Linked DNA regions of Astyanax mexicanus. The protein of the gene in region 2 purifies or fractionates together with the protein of the main gene of each other region. This does not show direct contact. Links are inferred from orthologs where the notes say so. Each region holds a gene or a part of one and is shown on either strand. Other genes may lie near its edges.

What was found. Proteins that work in one complex are often made in the same cells at the same time.
Region 1: the proteins of sap18 (region 2) and acin1b fractionate together in Homo sapiens (co-fractionation; 7 studies listed by BioGRID and IntAct, with this or other methods). This does not show direct contact. The link is inferred for Astyanax mexicanus from reciprocal best matches to the Homo sapiens genes SAP18 and ACIN1.

Annotation. Positions count from the first base shown.
Region 1 is NC_064415.1:17,425,944-17,433,880, forward strand, and holds the start of acin1b (apoptotic chromatin condensation inducer 1b), read left to right. Parts: upstream 1-4,881; 5' UTR 4,882-4,915; coding exon 4,916-5,053; intron 5,054-6,910; exon of another isoform or gene 6,911-7,057; intron 7,058-7,797; exon of another isoform or gene 7,798-7,908; intron 7,909-7,937.
Region 2 is NC_064418.1:25,416,738-25,424,012, forward strand, and holds the start of sap18 (histone deacetylase complex subunit SAP18), read left to right. Parts: upstream 1-4,250; 5' UTR 4,251-4,405; coding exon 4,406-4,477; intron 4,478-4,910; coding exon 4,911-5,020; intron 5,021-5,881; coding exon 5,882-6,004; intron 6,005-7,227; coding exon 7,228-7,275. Other genes in the region: uncharacterized protein LOC103025519, read right to left, coding at 750-2,137, 3,583-3,760. UniProt on the Homo sapiens protein: Component of the SIN3-repressing complex. Enhances the ability of SIN3-HDAC1-mediated transcriptional repression. When tethered to the promoter, it can direct the formation of a repressive complex to core histone proteins.

The sequences.
Region 1 (7,937 bases), on a different chromosome or scaffold from region 2:
CCCTCATGTTTTTTTGTACAGCTCTGTCCCACATCCTTAATATAGAGATGAGACTAAAGCACAATACCAGGAAACCTTAATTCCTCACTTTGTCTTCCATTTGTCTTTTTTTTGACCACCTTATCTTTGTTGTCAGAATTAGCTCTTTTCTTCATTGTGATGAAAGAGCTGACTGTATTGTTCCCCTTGCTTCCCTGTAGTATTATCTGTTATCTGTATGCTCATGCACTGACATGTTGTTTGGTCTGCTTATGCTAACAACATATATCAAGGCTGAACTCTTAATTCCTGAACACACAAAGTGCATAACTACAACTGCAGCCTTGTGCACTGTCTCAGACCGCCACCATGTGGACCATATCAGTATTACTGCACATCCTGGCTTGCAGTGTGAACAGATTCTCATCCTAGAATACTGTTGTCTCTTATCCTGCCTGGAATTGGTATCTTATTAATCTCTGGGTTATTGTATTTATAATTCATCATAATGACCTGTATCATTCTCTCCCGAGTGACCTGCTCTTTCAGAGACTAGTTTTTAAATCTAAGAAAAAAACTCAAATACAACTGAAACCATTGTAAAGCTTAGATTAGTTGGCCTTAGAGAAAGCATTGTAATCATATTTATTATTTTGTTTGTTTGTTTGTTTTTAATCAAACATATGCATGGCTTTAAGTTGCTCTTTACAAATACATATATATATGCACATGTGACCAGGGATGCTTTCCTGCAACATTTTTGCAACATTAATAATTGCTTTTAAATGTGGAGATTTGTTTTCTTTTTGTACCAGAATGTATTTTTGACACTCATTTTTTGATGTTTATTTTAAATTTAAATGGGTTTCTTCAAACACCTTTTATGTAATGGGTACTTTTGTGGACACTTCATCTGTAGCTAGGCATCCTCCGGTACTTGTCATAAAACCATAAAACATTTTTCCAAAATACATTTTTGTTTAAATGCAGTGGTCATGAATGTTTCTTTTTGTCGCCCCCTGCTGTGCTTAAATATTTACCATGTTTGACTCTTTAAAGCAGTGGCCCCCAATACTGCCCCTTGAGGATCACTGTCCTGTGCATTTGTCCCATAGACTGTATATAGCTGGACAGAGCATCGTCTCTCAAAAGTGAAGCCACCACAGGTCGGGCGCCCCCTGCTGTTCGGCTGCAGAAAGCTGTGTAACCCCACCCACCCCCATAGGTTTCAATGGCAAAACAGACAACTTTTAATCACGTTTTTTTCTAATATGCTGTAATTCTACCTCCATTATTTAAATGCAGCAGCTAGTGTAACCTCTGCTTATATTGTCAAATTTTTATATTCTCACAGAGTTCTTTTTTTAAAACGTTATTCAGCTCTATTCAAAACAGGTGTGGTTATTGTAAAAGGGCTGGTTATGGGCGGGACCAATAACAGACCGTCAGCTCCGCTCTGCAGCCTGTGACCGCGAGGCAGCCCTCAGGGGCGGGGTTATTTAAATGAGTAGGAGCTCTCCACAGTCTTTCTCCCTCCTCTGGTCTCTACTGCGCAGACTCTGGTCTCAGAATCGCCAAAATGGCGGAAGATTTTGGCTTCATTTTCATTGAATGAATGGGAACGGCGACACGGCGTCCATCTTTATATACAGTCTATGATTTGTCCCATCTAAGGCCTTCAATCAATTAATCAACAAAGCCTCACTTAATTGAAATGGATGTGTCAAAGCAGGGAATATGCAGGAGATTGGGCTTTCGGGACCAGGGTTATGGACCACTGCATTAAAGGACTCATTTACTGCTACTCTTCTCTATTTCTTTAATTTGTCTCAGTTTTCCAGTCCATGTTTAGTTATTAAATGTTCAACAGAAGAAAAAAAAACCATTTTAAACAGTTTACAGTTGGACAAGAAAATCCTATTACTTATTTTAATGTAATGTTTGAAGCTTGAGTAATTTACGCTATGGTAATACTGCAGGCAAATCAGATTTTTTTGTGAAATCAGATCTGTTGAGATAAATCCACACTCGTATTAGCTCTTTTTGGGCCCCTTCTATCACTCTGGATTTGATGATTTGTTGTTTGTCTTGTTGTCAGTAACCATCCAGAGACTTATCACTTAAAATCTGATTGTAATCTCAATTGCAGTTTTCAGTTCCGTGTGGTTTCTGGATGTCCAGATTATCAAATTATCAATCTGGATACAATCTAGATATACATAAAACCAGATTAAGGCTGGCAGTTTGAACACAGCCTTTAATTTTTTCAGATTTCTGAAAATATCTTACAACAAATCATATGTTTAGGCTTCCTTAACAGTTCTACCTTTATACGTTTGGATTGCCTACACACTGTGACATAAACCAACCCACTTAATGGTATGGATCAAGTCTGAATCTCTTGCTTGGCTTCTTTTGTTACAAGCTGTTTAATTATAATTATTGCTCCCTAACCCATAAAGTTTTATGTATTAGCAACACAGCAAAAGTGCAGTTCAACATTGTTATTTTAGGTTGTGCGGTATTTTATGCTACACTGTCATCATACCACAGTGACTATATAAATATATTATATTCTGACAGCAGAAAATGAAAATGATCTCCATCACAAGTGTATATTGGTTTTAAACACAGTAATCTTCAAATTGCTGAGAGAACATTCATGCAGTGTATACGATATAGAGAGAAAGGTGTGAACTCTGTAAAGTAAAAGAGTGCTTAAAAAAGTGTAGCTGAAAGAAGTGAAATGACAAAAGTGTGGGTGTGGTGAACAATAGCTCATTATCATTCAAAGGAACAGGAACTCAGTCCGGTAATTGTGAATGGGTGCTGTTGCTGAATCGTTGTGGTATATTGGCCATTTCACACTTTTTATTCAGACCTCAAAACTGTGAAAAAAGTGAAAGTGGTCACATTTAAACTAATGGGTAAATACATGATAGAATATGTAATCTAATTTAGTGTGTAAAAATGTAATATGTAATAAAATATTTTGTTGCAGAAAATGTAAGCTTACAATGATAATATAGGTCCAGAATAACGTTTTGGTGAGAATGTGTAATGCTAAAAAAGTACTTTTAAAATATGTATTGTGGTGTGATCTTTTTTAAGTTGTTTACATCAGCTCTTGTTTTAGCACCATTGACAGCACTAATTTTGTTATAGCTAAAAATATCCCGGGACCTACCAGACACCATGTTTTTAAAAGAATATATATACATTTACAGGAATGGTAGCAGAAGCACATTGATGCCATTTATTATAATATTTATATATTATTATAATATTTTGCACTCCCATTATGGAACACTACTGCTTTAAAATAAAAAATATATAGGACTGCTGCTTTAAATAACTTTAACATACTTTTATGCATGTTAATGTTTGTTTTATTTTTTATTTGCTTAATAAGTTAATAAGATAATATTAAATAAAAAAGAACAGGAACAAAACTTTACACTAATTTGGCTTACTTTGTTATGTTTCTAATTATACTTTGTTGTTACCTAGTTTAGTTGGTTTTGGCTGGTCTTTGAGGGTCAGGGGAGCTGGTTAAGCAATTTTTATATAGTGTATAATATATAAGTGTGATTTTATTCATGCTGGACAACCAGCTTGATCTTGTTGGTTAATCAGAGTTTGGTAATGCTTGCTGTCTTGCTTGCTTGACCAGCTTGATTTAGTCGACTGGTAGACCAGCTAAATCTTAACCCATATGAGGCCAGACTCATTTCAAAATGTAATCATTGATCAATTAATTGAACCGCTTGGTCATGTTTGTTTCTTGTTGTGGGCATGTGACTGTAAAAAAAAACGTTTTAAGGTTAACATCATAATGTAACAAGTGACACAACATCAATATATACGTTATTTAAGCGTTTGAATGGTTAAATGTTTGGAACAGAGCTGTAGAAAAGAAAAAGATAGATTTTTAAAGGAGCTTTAGTTTTATGTCCAGCAGTAACCCATACATAAAGTGATGTAAGGAACTTTCCACGTATTTTAAAGGGTCTGTGACACATACATCACCATTGGCGTTATACCTATACCATCCCATACATCTAGACTAGGACCTCTAGTACCTGAATGTTCCATATACACATACACACAGATTGCACAAATACTTATATTTATTCCCTTTGTTTCTCTATCAATTTTCTCCCTATTTATCTCCACATACAAAACAAAACAAAAAAATTATTTGTCCATTTTTTTTGGGTGGTGGCGGGCAAAAAAAAATAATAATAATAATACTCTACCTGACACTACACTTCTACCGAGAGCATGTTCTAATATGTGCTACCTGCTTTAAGACACACACAACTTTTTATGTTAGTTTAATCTCCTCCACCCACCTACACAAATCTCTGGTACTAAGTGTGCATATTCTCAACTGCATCATAACATGATATGCTACCCATCGATAGGAGCTTCTTAACGACACTGCGCATGCGCCAACTCACATTTTTTTTGTTTTTATCTGTTTTTCACGATAATACTGTTTTTTTTCTTGTGTTCATTAAGCAACCTGAGATATATATAAATTTGCTTGAGTGTTACAAAAGTGTAAATGGCTTTTTTTATAAAATGAATGAATATTAAATTGAATACTGAATTAAATATAAAACTGGTTTCTAATCACCTCATATGCCCCTTACTTTATCTGATACAGTAATTTGGCCTATCCTTAACACCCTACCTGACACTACGCATCTGCCGGGAGCATGTTCTAATATGGTGTTTTTGCGTTTTCACCTTTAAACACACACTAGGGTAAGAGGCAGTTTGACACGGTAGCACAGCTTGTCAGGACACCGGTGCCCGTGGTTGTTTTTGTGGTCGCCGCGCTGTTCGGCTTTTTCCGGAGAGCTCCGGCGCGTGACGTCAGCGCGTCAGGCCGAAGTTCGAGCGATCGGAGAGCTGAGGGGGAGGCAAAATGGCGGAGCTCGAAGATGTTACGCTGGACGGGAAACCGCTTCACTCGCTCCGTGTGGCGGATCTGAAAGCTGCGCTGGAGCAGCGAGGCCTCGCGAAAAGCGGGCAAAAAACCGCGCTTATAAAGCGCCTGAAAGGGGTAGGTTTGCAGCGGCGGGTCGGCTCTAATAAAGCAGGGCAGCTCCGCTAATCAAGTTGAGCCGGAGCCGAGCGGCAGGCCGGAGTGCTCTGCTGGAGGCTCCGGGAGCGGGAATGCAGGTTTACTCCATGTGCGCTGGTTCGGTACTTCTTTGGTTACCGGTCTGGCTCGGTGTGAGTCCGTCTTACGCCGTGCGTGCGTGTATGCGCGTGTTTAGTGCGAGGGGAGTCGGTTGCTGGGTCGTGTGATCCTGAGGTCTGTGAGTTGACTTCGTGCCCGCGCCCTGTGTGTGTGTTTGTAGTGCGCGGGGGCGCGCCCGGCTCTGAAAGCTCAGAGCGACGGTTGACGTTTGGGCTGGAAAACAGCCGTCAAACTGAGCAGAAAGTCCGCAGAGTTGGATGAAGTTTGCTAAGCTTGCCAGCTATGTCCTCTTCTGTACAAATTGGTTGCTAAATGTAGTTAGCGTTAGATAGCTAATTAATTATGAAGCGTGAAGTTGGCTTATTAGACCTAAATCCAGCTTATAGGTTCGCTAGCTACTCATATTAAGCTAAGCCACACAGGCTTATAAGGGCTGTTAGCAGGTTAGCTAACCACATAGCTATCTGTCAGACCGCTTTAAAACACCCAGACTTGTGTTACTAAGTAACTAGTTAACCTTATGGTAAGTTAGTTGAGCTAACTCTAGCTAGTTTAGCTAAACCACATTAAGTTAGTTAAAAAAAATAACTTTTTACACACATTAAAGGCTGAAGTTAGTTTTTTTTATTCATAGCATGAGAGAGGAATAGTTATATACTACCATGTAAGTTATCTTAAAACAGACTTAAGTTACTCTGTTTTATTTCCAAGCTTGGTTCGAGTGAGCTGCGTAACCAGCTTTTTTTTATCAGCGTAGTGTATAATAATACGTGCAATTTCTGTCTTCATGCTGGACAACCAGCTTGATCTTGCTGGTCAGTCAGAGCTTGGTAATGCTGGTTGTCTTGCTAAACGTTAACACAAAAGAGCCCAGACCCATGTCTGAGTAAGTTACTGATACCAATTTTCAAAATTGTATTTTATTGATACATTCCTTGAGCAGCTCGTTCATGTTTGTTTCTTATTGTGGACACATGACTAAATATTATAAAGTTAAACACATAATGAGACATAAGGACACAACTATTGACCCTAACTGTTATTAACATGTTGTTCTATAAATCAGGTCAGAACTAGTTATATAGAACGGCAAACATTTATTTAAGCATTTGAATTGTTAACTGGGTGTAACAGACCTATACTGCACTTTTAAAATTAGCAAGTTTTATCTCCAGACTTCATGTGTTAGCTAGCTAATCATGTTAACCTGAGCCACGCAGGCTTATAAGGGCCGTCAGCTAGCTTAACTAGTTAACTAGGTTGCGTTTTTAAACACACACACACTTATTTTGCTTATTTAGCCAAAACCTATTTATTTACTTAGTTAACTCAAACATTTTTGTGTTTCCTAAACAGGCTGTGTTGGTTTGAAACATTTTAACACATTTTAAAACCATATGAACAGCGTAGCTATGTGAACCATCTGGCTCCTATAACCTATTTAGTTATCGTCTTTGCATCTGTTTTGACATGTAAATTACTTTTTAGTGTTCAAGCAGACATTTGCTCTGCTGATGGGTCTCTACAGGACACTACAGGACACGTGTAAATTGTGCACTTCACGCCAATCATGAGTAGTTGTAGTTAGTTTTGGGGAGTGGATTTGGACCAACGCGCCTCCCATCTGAAGTAAAACACCATTTATAAAGAAACCTTATTTAGCAATGATCACACTGGGACCGTAGCTACAGTACTGAACAGATCAGGCAGGGCTGCGGGAAACCGGTAACTACTCTTTTTTCCCTCAAAAAAAGAAGCGACTTGTCAGAGACCCAACCGTGTGTGTTTTTACTCTGCACCTGCGTTAAATCATGCTCGACACTTTAAACGAGCCTTTAGAATCCGTTTTGCTTCTGATCAGAGGTGAGTAGTAGTACAGATGAGCATAAGTGTTGTAACCTAAAAGTACAAGTTAAAGAAGATGTTATCTGCTGAAACAACTTGAGGAGAAGTAAAAAGAGAGAGATAAATTCTAGGGTTTAGGTACAAATACGAAATTAATAATTACTTTTCTGCTACTGAACAGTTTAGTAGTAGAAAAATGATCAGAAAACATGTTTTACTGGCTCCAGGATTTAAGATATTTTTTTTTAGGATAAGTGAGCTAATACTCATGCTTTCTTTCTTTATTTACAAAATAAGTAATGCAGATAGAGACCGGGGTAATTTGTCATTTATAGTGTTAATGCTTTATACATTTATTATAACGAATGTAGAATAAAATACACATGTAGTTGCTGTCATGTTATAGTGTATATAGTTTTTTTTAACATAATTTAATCTCTCACTTACTTACTTTCCAACGCAAATTTTACATCTGTACTTTTTGTATGAAAATGCAGTGTGCCTTTTTTATTGTAGCATAAGTAGGCTTAGACAGTATGACAATTTTAATGTTTTGTGATAAATCTTGTTACTGATATACACTATACATATTGAGTATATTGTGAATATGATTCAGTCGTTCAAGTACAATAATCAAATGTATATTACAGAGAGTCTAATTTTAATTGATTGTTTCCAGCAATGTCTAAATAAGAAGCACTATAGAAATTATGTCAGTGACTTATAACGCATCATCAAATTGTCTTTATATCATGTGTTTCCTGTGATGAGTTTGCCATGCTAATACTGATATGCCAGACTGACAATGTCTTTCTGGGCATAAATGAGTTCAGTTTAACTTCTCACACTCGCAGTGTGATCTGAGGAAAACACTAATCGTAGCCTGTTAATGTCTTAC
Region 2 (7,275 bases):
TAGTTTTCCAAATAATTAAGTGCAAAAAAAAAACACAAAAAACAATGGGCAGCCATAATTTTACACAACATGCTTATGATGGTGAGATACTTATTCTGCATCCCTTTCCCCACAGATATTGGAGATGTCACACCAGAGTTGACAGCGTTCCAGTTAAACATGGTAAATGAGGAAAGTGTATAATATTTCAAAACATTTCTGACGGCAAGCTAAAAAGTTTACCACAACTGGTTTGACAGTTATTTACCTGAGTTTACCAGGTTATGGTTTTAGCTTTTTAGTGATACCAGCTGCTAACCATTGATACAGTCTGTTTACAGATGGAAGTTAGACAGTACTGCACAACTAACTTAATGAGACAAATAAAAAAGAAGTGCTAAAAAAAGTACTACTGTTTGTGTATGGTACAGCCATCTTGGATTCTTAATTCTGTAATTAGTGAGACTCTTCCAAACTACTCAGTAGGAAATTTGGACCCAGTTTGCCAAAAGCATTTTAGCATTTAATACATCTTTACGTGGAGAGAGAGAGTGCTCAGTGTGAAGCTTGCTCGACCATCTAAGATGGTCCATCTCCTTTTGGAACCCGACCTGTGGAGACCTGTTCCAGTTTAAACTGTCTACCTGAAAGCAGAAAATTCTGGCATCATAATTTAAATGGAATAAAGCCTTAATGGAATCAATTAAAGGAATGAGAAATATGGAGTGAAACGGTATGAATGCAAAATGTGTACACAAATTTACCTTACTCTACTCTAGTGGGACAGCAGATATACACAGGTTGTTTAAGGCACAGGCAACCTGTACTATCTTGTCAAAAGTGGTCACGCCTGAACTACGGTCTAGGACTGTAAAAGGACTCTCCACTGGACCAGTGAGCATAGAATATCTTTTCTTGACCATTTGTATGACCCTCCCCACATGATTATACACATTCAACCTTTCTACAGTGACCAGAGAGGCCTGTTCTCTTAAATGTTGGTCACCTGTAAAGATCTCACCATGATGATCACTACTAGTGATTTTAAGCTCAGCCCTACAAGCACTGACCAAGTCTCTAATGTCAAAATCTCTCTCAGCCAATACTACATCCCCAGGCAGGAGTTTACATAGGAGACCACTACTCTGTACTAAAGTCTTATCGCTGACATTCCCTGGTGACCCCCTGGAAACAAACATGACAACACCCTGAGGGGCAACACCAATCACATATTTGAGCTCACTGACAAATGCCTTGTGAGGAGACTGAGGGACCATGTCCGCTGCTGATGCTGCACAATGAGGGTTTACATCTACACTGACTGCTTTTTCGAGGGACACGGTAAAGCAGTCAATTATCACGGCACAGTCTGGATGTGAGCACTTCACAGCAGCAGGAAGGTTTTTCCGAAGCTCCAACCTTGACGGCCAATACACAGCTGTGGGTACCAGAGTGGTAAACATTATGTTGATGACTCGATGAACAGTTCTGGTTACTGTTGCAACTTTAACTCCAAAACGGTAAGCTAAATCCTGATTCCTAAGATCAAGCCTAAGTCTCATTAGCGTGAGAAGTAACTGCTGGAATGTTGAAAGCTTGGCATTTTTGTCTCCCTTCATATGTGGTACAAGCAGCCACATTACAGTCTCAAACACAAAATAGTTTGGCAATCCTGTGTAGAACTGAACTTTCTCTGGATCGTTCCGGAACGAGGTTTCCGTGAGGGACATCTTCGCTAAGGACCCCCTCAGTTCAATGTTCTCTTTTCTCAGGGCGTTGAGACTGGCCTCATAGTTGACTGACTGTGTGCAAATGTTTCTCAGTGGTATTTCTTGTTTGATCTGGTCCTCGCTTTCTAATACACTTTCTTCTTCCCTCTCATCGTCGTCATCATCGTCGTCGTCCTCCTCCTCTTCATCATAGCTGTTTAGTGAAGAGGCTGCACTCTCTGGATCCCCCTGACAGTGGTTATGGCTATGGCCCTCTTTCAGACGCCCCTGCCCTTGCAGGAAAAGCAAGGCATTAGCAGCCTCCACTTGCGCCTCTTGTTTGTCATAGGGTTCAAAGGCGTTGGCTTCTTTTATATTCGGGGACAGAGGTGCTGAAGTGAAAACAGAGGGAACATAGTCTGGAGACCGTGGGTTCTTTACTTGTCTACCTGTGATATGGACAAAGAGTGTAAATATTAGACAATAAAACCATACTAAATAAATATGTTGTTTCAACATAAGCTGTCACATTTAAAGATGAGGTATAAATGTAATATCCTTGCTTTAGAAAAATCAGCTTAATATCAGAAATGGTGGTAGCTGGTTTCACACGGTCTAAGCTGGTCTTTGATAGTTAAGGTGGTTGAAAAGCTGGTCAGACAGGTGAAAATATACTCTAGACTGGTAAGCTAAATGGTTAACCAGCTCTTGCCTGCATAGTGTGTCTTGTTTGATTTTGGTCATGCTTGGCTATGCTGGTCAATTAGTGTGGCCTTGTTGGTCATGCTGGTTAACCAACTTGGTCTCGCAGAATATGCTGGAGAACCTGCATGGTTTTGTTGCTCATACTGGTCAACCACCTCTGTCTTGCTGGTAATGCTGGGCTTGGTTGTCTACCAGCTTGGTCTTGCTGGTTATGCTGGTCAACCACCTTGGTGTTGCTAGTAATGCTAGGCTTGGTGGTCTACTAGCTTGGTTTCACTGGCCAACCAGTTTTGTTGCTTATGCTGGCCAACCACCTTGGTCTTTATGGTCTTGTTGGTCTGCCACCTTGGTCTGACCCGTTATGCTGGTCAACCACCTTGGTCTTGATGGCTGTGTTGGTCTACCACCTTGGTCTGACCCGTTATGCTGGTCAACCACCTTGGTCTTGATGGTCATGTTGGTCTATCAGCTTGGTCTTGCTGGTTATGCTGGGCTTGGTTGTCTACCATCTTGGTCTTGATGGTCATGTTGGTCTACCACCTTGGTCTTGATGGTCATGTTGGTCTACCAGCTTGGTCTTGCTTGTAATGCTGGGCTTGGTGGTCTACCAGCGTCCAAAAAAACTACACTGGTCTTGCTGGTCAACAACCTTGGTCTTGCGGGTAATGCTGGGCTTGGTGGTCTACCAGTTTAGTTTTGTTGCTTATGCTGACCAACCAGCTTGGTCTTGGTGGTCTCCTGGCTTGGTCCTGGCTCATTATACTGGTCTTGCTGTTATCTCTGCTGAAAAAAAAACAGCAAGGCCAGTTCAGAATGCTCCAGCAGGTTGACCAGCTTAGTTTTTGACCTGCATAGGGTTTGAGTTTATGTTTGAGTTTAATACTTTGGCTGGTCTGCAAGCATGATCATTCTGACCAAGCTGGATAGCCTATATAACCAAGCTTGACCAAGTTGACTGACCAGCATGACTAAACTGGTGGAACAGTATGACCAAATTCACCAAGGTTGTTGACTTGTATCAGCTTGGCTGAGCTTGGTTTTATTGGTTATCTATGCTTCCAGGCCAGCCAAATTATTAAACTCAAACTCAACCATATCCTATGCTGGTCAACCATCTTTACCAGCCTGGTGTGGCCATGCTGTTGTTTCAGTAAAGGTAACTGTGCTGCTGTAGCTGCTGAACCTCTACCTGAAATGAAGTGGGTGCTGCAGAGTCTGCTGCCCTCGTTTGGCATCCAGCCTTCACGATTCACCGCGGCGATCCAGCGCTGCTTCCTCTCGGGGTCTCTGGGGAACCTGTAGAAGGACAGCGCGGTGCCGGGGGTCCTCCTGTTCCGACAGCCGGACACCACGCACGTGTGAACCATGTTACAGAGCGCCAGGAGCTGCGCGGGGCTCCAGTCTTTTTCTCACTCACACACACACACACACACACACACACACACACCACTGATTGATATTCTGACTCCCAAAATGGCGGCGGGGGGACTGCCATACAAACGCACTGACGGGTTCGGAGCGCGTCATCCGTGGGGCCCCGGTTCTGGTGTTGTGTCGAGTTGTGCTACCCTGTCAAACCGTGCAACCATACTGTATGTTTAACTGTAAAAATACATGCTGCATGCATGAGAAGTGTCGATATGACATTTCAATAGCCTGAATCGCTGTATCAGGATAAAGATGAGGCAATATAGGTGATTAAAAACATGGGACCCTGGGATGGATTTTTACTTTCTGGAATTGAGTTACCCAACTCTTGGAAAAAAACATGAAAACAGTAAAAATTAGAGTTTTGCGCACGCGCAGAGCCGCTAAGTAGCACATATCAATGGGTAGCACAACTCGACAGAACACCAGCGCTGTGATTGGTCGAGGCGCTCGGTCGCTACAGCGGGTCATCCTCAAGCGCCCGGCGGGGAGGCAGCTAAAGCTAGCGAACCTGAATTAGCGAGAGCGCTGCGTTTAGAGGAGCTTAAATCTGAGCTTCTGGTCAGAGAAAGAGGGTTCCAACGATGGCTGTGGAGTCGAGGGTGACCCAGGAGGAAATTAAGAAGGAGCCGGAGAAGCCGGTCGATAGAGAAAAGGTTTGTTAGCGCTGAACATTAGTTTGTTTAGTGAGGGGGTAGTGTGGAGCTAACGCTAGCATCCCGCTGCAGTTTGGTTCATACAGAATCAGCCAGCTAAAATCTGCTAAAGCTAACTAATAAATTAATATTTAAACTTTTTTGGAGTAAATTAGTTAACCATCTGATGGATATTAGCTCTGAAACGTCTATTTTGATGTTTAATAGTTCCTCTGTAAGCACGGCCAATTCAACTTGCTGGATAAATCCAGTTTGCTAGCTAGCTAGCTAGCTAACTAACTAACTAGCTAGCTAGCATGGATTGACTGTGTGTGTGTGTTTTTGTGTGTGTTTTTGTGTGTGTTTTTGTGTGTGTTTTTGTGTGTGTGTGTGTTTTTGTGTGTGTGTGTGTGTGTGTGTGTGTGTGTGTGTGTGTGTGTGTGTGTGTGTACAGACGTGTCCGCTGCTGCTTAGAGTTTTCACCACAAATAATGGGAGGCATCACAGAATGGACGAGTTTGCCCGAGGAAATGTACCATCAAGCGAGCTTCAGATTTACACCTGGTGAGTGAACGTTCTTATGTCCGGTTTTGACTGTCTGTAACTAGGGCCGGGCGATATAACCTAGTTAATTATCTATATACAGCTCTAGAAAAATGAAGAGATAACTTCAGTTTCTGAATCAGTTTCTCTGGTTTTGCAATTTATAGGTATATGTTTGATTAAAATTAACTTTGTTGTTGTTTTATTCTATAAATTATGGCCATATAGTAATTATTGTAAAGATTGTCATTTAGACTTAATTCAAAGAAAAAAAGTTCATATTCCTAAAGTTTTAAGAGTTGAGAAGTCAATATTTGGTAGAATAACACTGGGTTTTTAATCACAGCTTTCATGCATTTTGGCATGTTATCCCCCACCAGTCTTACACACTGCTTTTGGATAACTTTATGCCACTCCTGGTGAAAAAAATACATTTTGATGGCTTGTGCTCATCCATCTTCCTCTTGATTATATTCAAAGGCTTTTAAATTTAGTATAATCAAAGAAATTACCATTTTTCTTTTTTTTTTCAATATTCTTCAAATAATATACTGCACATAACAACTTCAGTTTTTTATTTGTAGACAAACAGCACCATTTAAAGTGATGCCCAAGCTATTGTTATTGTTGTTATATGACCTAAATACTATATATAGAAAAATAGTTCTAATTTAAAATTATCAAAGTATTTATTTTCACACAAAGAAATATTAACGAATGAAAGTCCACTACATTTTAAGGACAATTTCCTTCAGCTCATTTCCTCCCTCTCTCTTTCTGACTTTAATAACCTTTAGCAACAAGTATAATAGTCATAAGAGGAGATCTCAAATCTTCTCCTGGCTTTAACACCTCTTGTGTCTTGTGTGTGTTTAAAAACAGGATGGACGCCACCCTGAAAGAGCTGACCAGTCTAGTAAAGGAGGTTTATCCTGAGGCTCGAAAGAAAGGCACACACTTCGGGTTTGCTATTGTTTATCCAGACCCTAAAAGACCAGGCTACAGGTAATGTAGGACAGTTCTGTTTTGTGCAGTATATATTTTCTCGTTTCAGCCTTTTGTGTCTCTGTTTCAATTTTTCATTCTTATTGCCACAGTCAACATTCTTGAACAGAACCCTTGAACAGTTTAATATCCACAGTTTAAAGCATCTAGTGGTTTTAACTGCCTTTGCTACAGTTGCCCGTGTGCACACTTCATGTACAGTGACTTGATTATTTGGAGCATTTACAACCAATTTTTGAGAAACATTCAGCGAGTTAGATCAATAGAATGGTGGACTGAATGCTGAAAGTAGTGTAACAAGCTAAATAGACCCTAAATTACTTATATTACTGAGTAACACGCGTGCTTCCAAACAGCCCCTGCATTGCTCCAGGTCTTCATCTGAACTGAGAAAACAAGGTTCAATCAGAAGCACTGCAGTCTTAATCCCTGGATCAATAACATATTGCAGAACAGTCACTGGAGAGAAAAAAATAGCATGTATTTTCAGAACTGCTGGGCGATTTTCACGATTAATTTGGTTAATTTAAATTAGTTTTAATGCGATTTTTTTAAAGTTGAGTAATTGTGATTTTACATAGACATTTTATCATTTTAATCTAAAACATTTAAAAAAACGCTACTCATTTCTGAAGTGTTTATCTATCTTACAATGCTTGCCGGCACCTCCCACAGACTGAGAACTGAGCTTGTACCAAAAAAAAGTTATATAACATATATTTAGCTAGAAATAAATCCTATTGCTTTAAAAACTGCAGCACCATCACTCTCTGCTTAGGATCTGTGGTTAATTGTGGAAAACAATAAAAATCTCTCCTTCAAAGTTTCTTCTGAGACTCGTTTAGTGCACTATTTCTCAATTTTTCAGTCACAAACCCGTGTTCTTAAGTATAATCCAGTGTGTGAGTAACTCCAGGGTGTGTGGACGAGGTCAGCGTGTGATATGAACGCATGAGCTTAAACTATGTTTTGAATTATTTACTCAATGAGTCAACTCAACCCAAAGCATCTGAACACCATTTTATTTGTAACAGTTAAACCTAGTTTTGAACCATTTCTTTGTCATCTGTAGATAGATTTTTAGTATGATCACAGTTTTATGTGAACTCATCCTTTTATTTAATACATTTTTCTTTTTTATCTACAGTCCTAGGTGTTGTCTGACTGAGGCGTGTAGACTGTAGATATATAATAATTTTAGAATTTTTGCTTTGCTTTTATAGGGTCAAAGAAATCGGTAACACAGTATCTGGGCGCAAGGGTGCAGATGA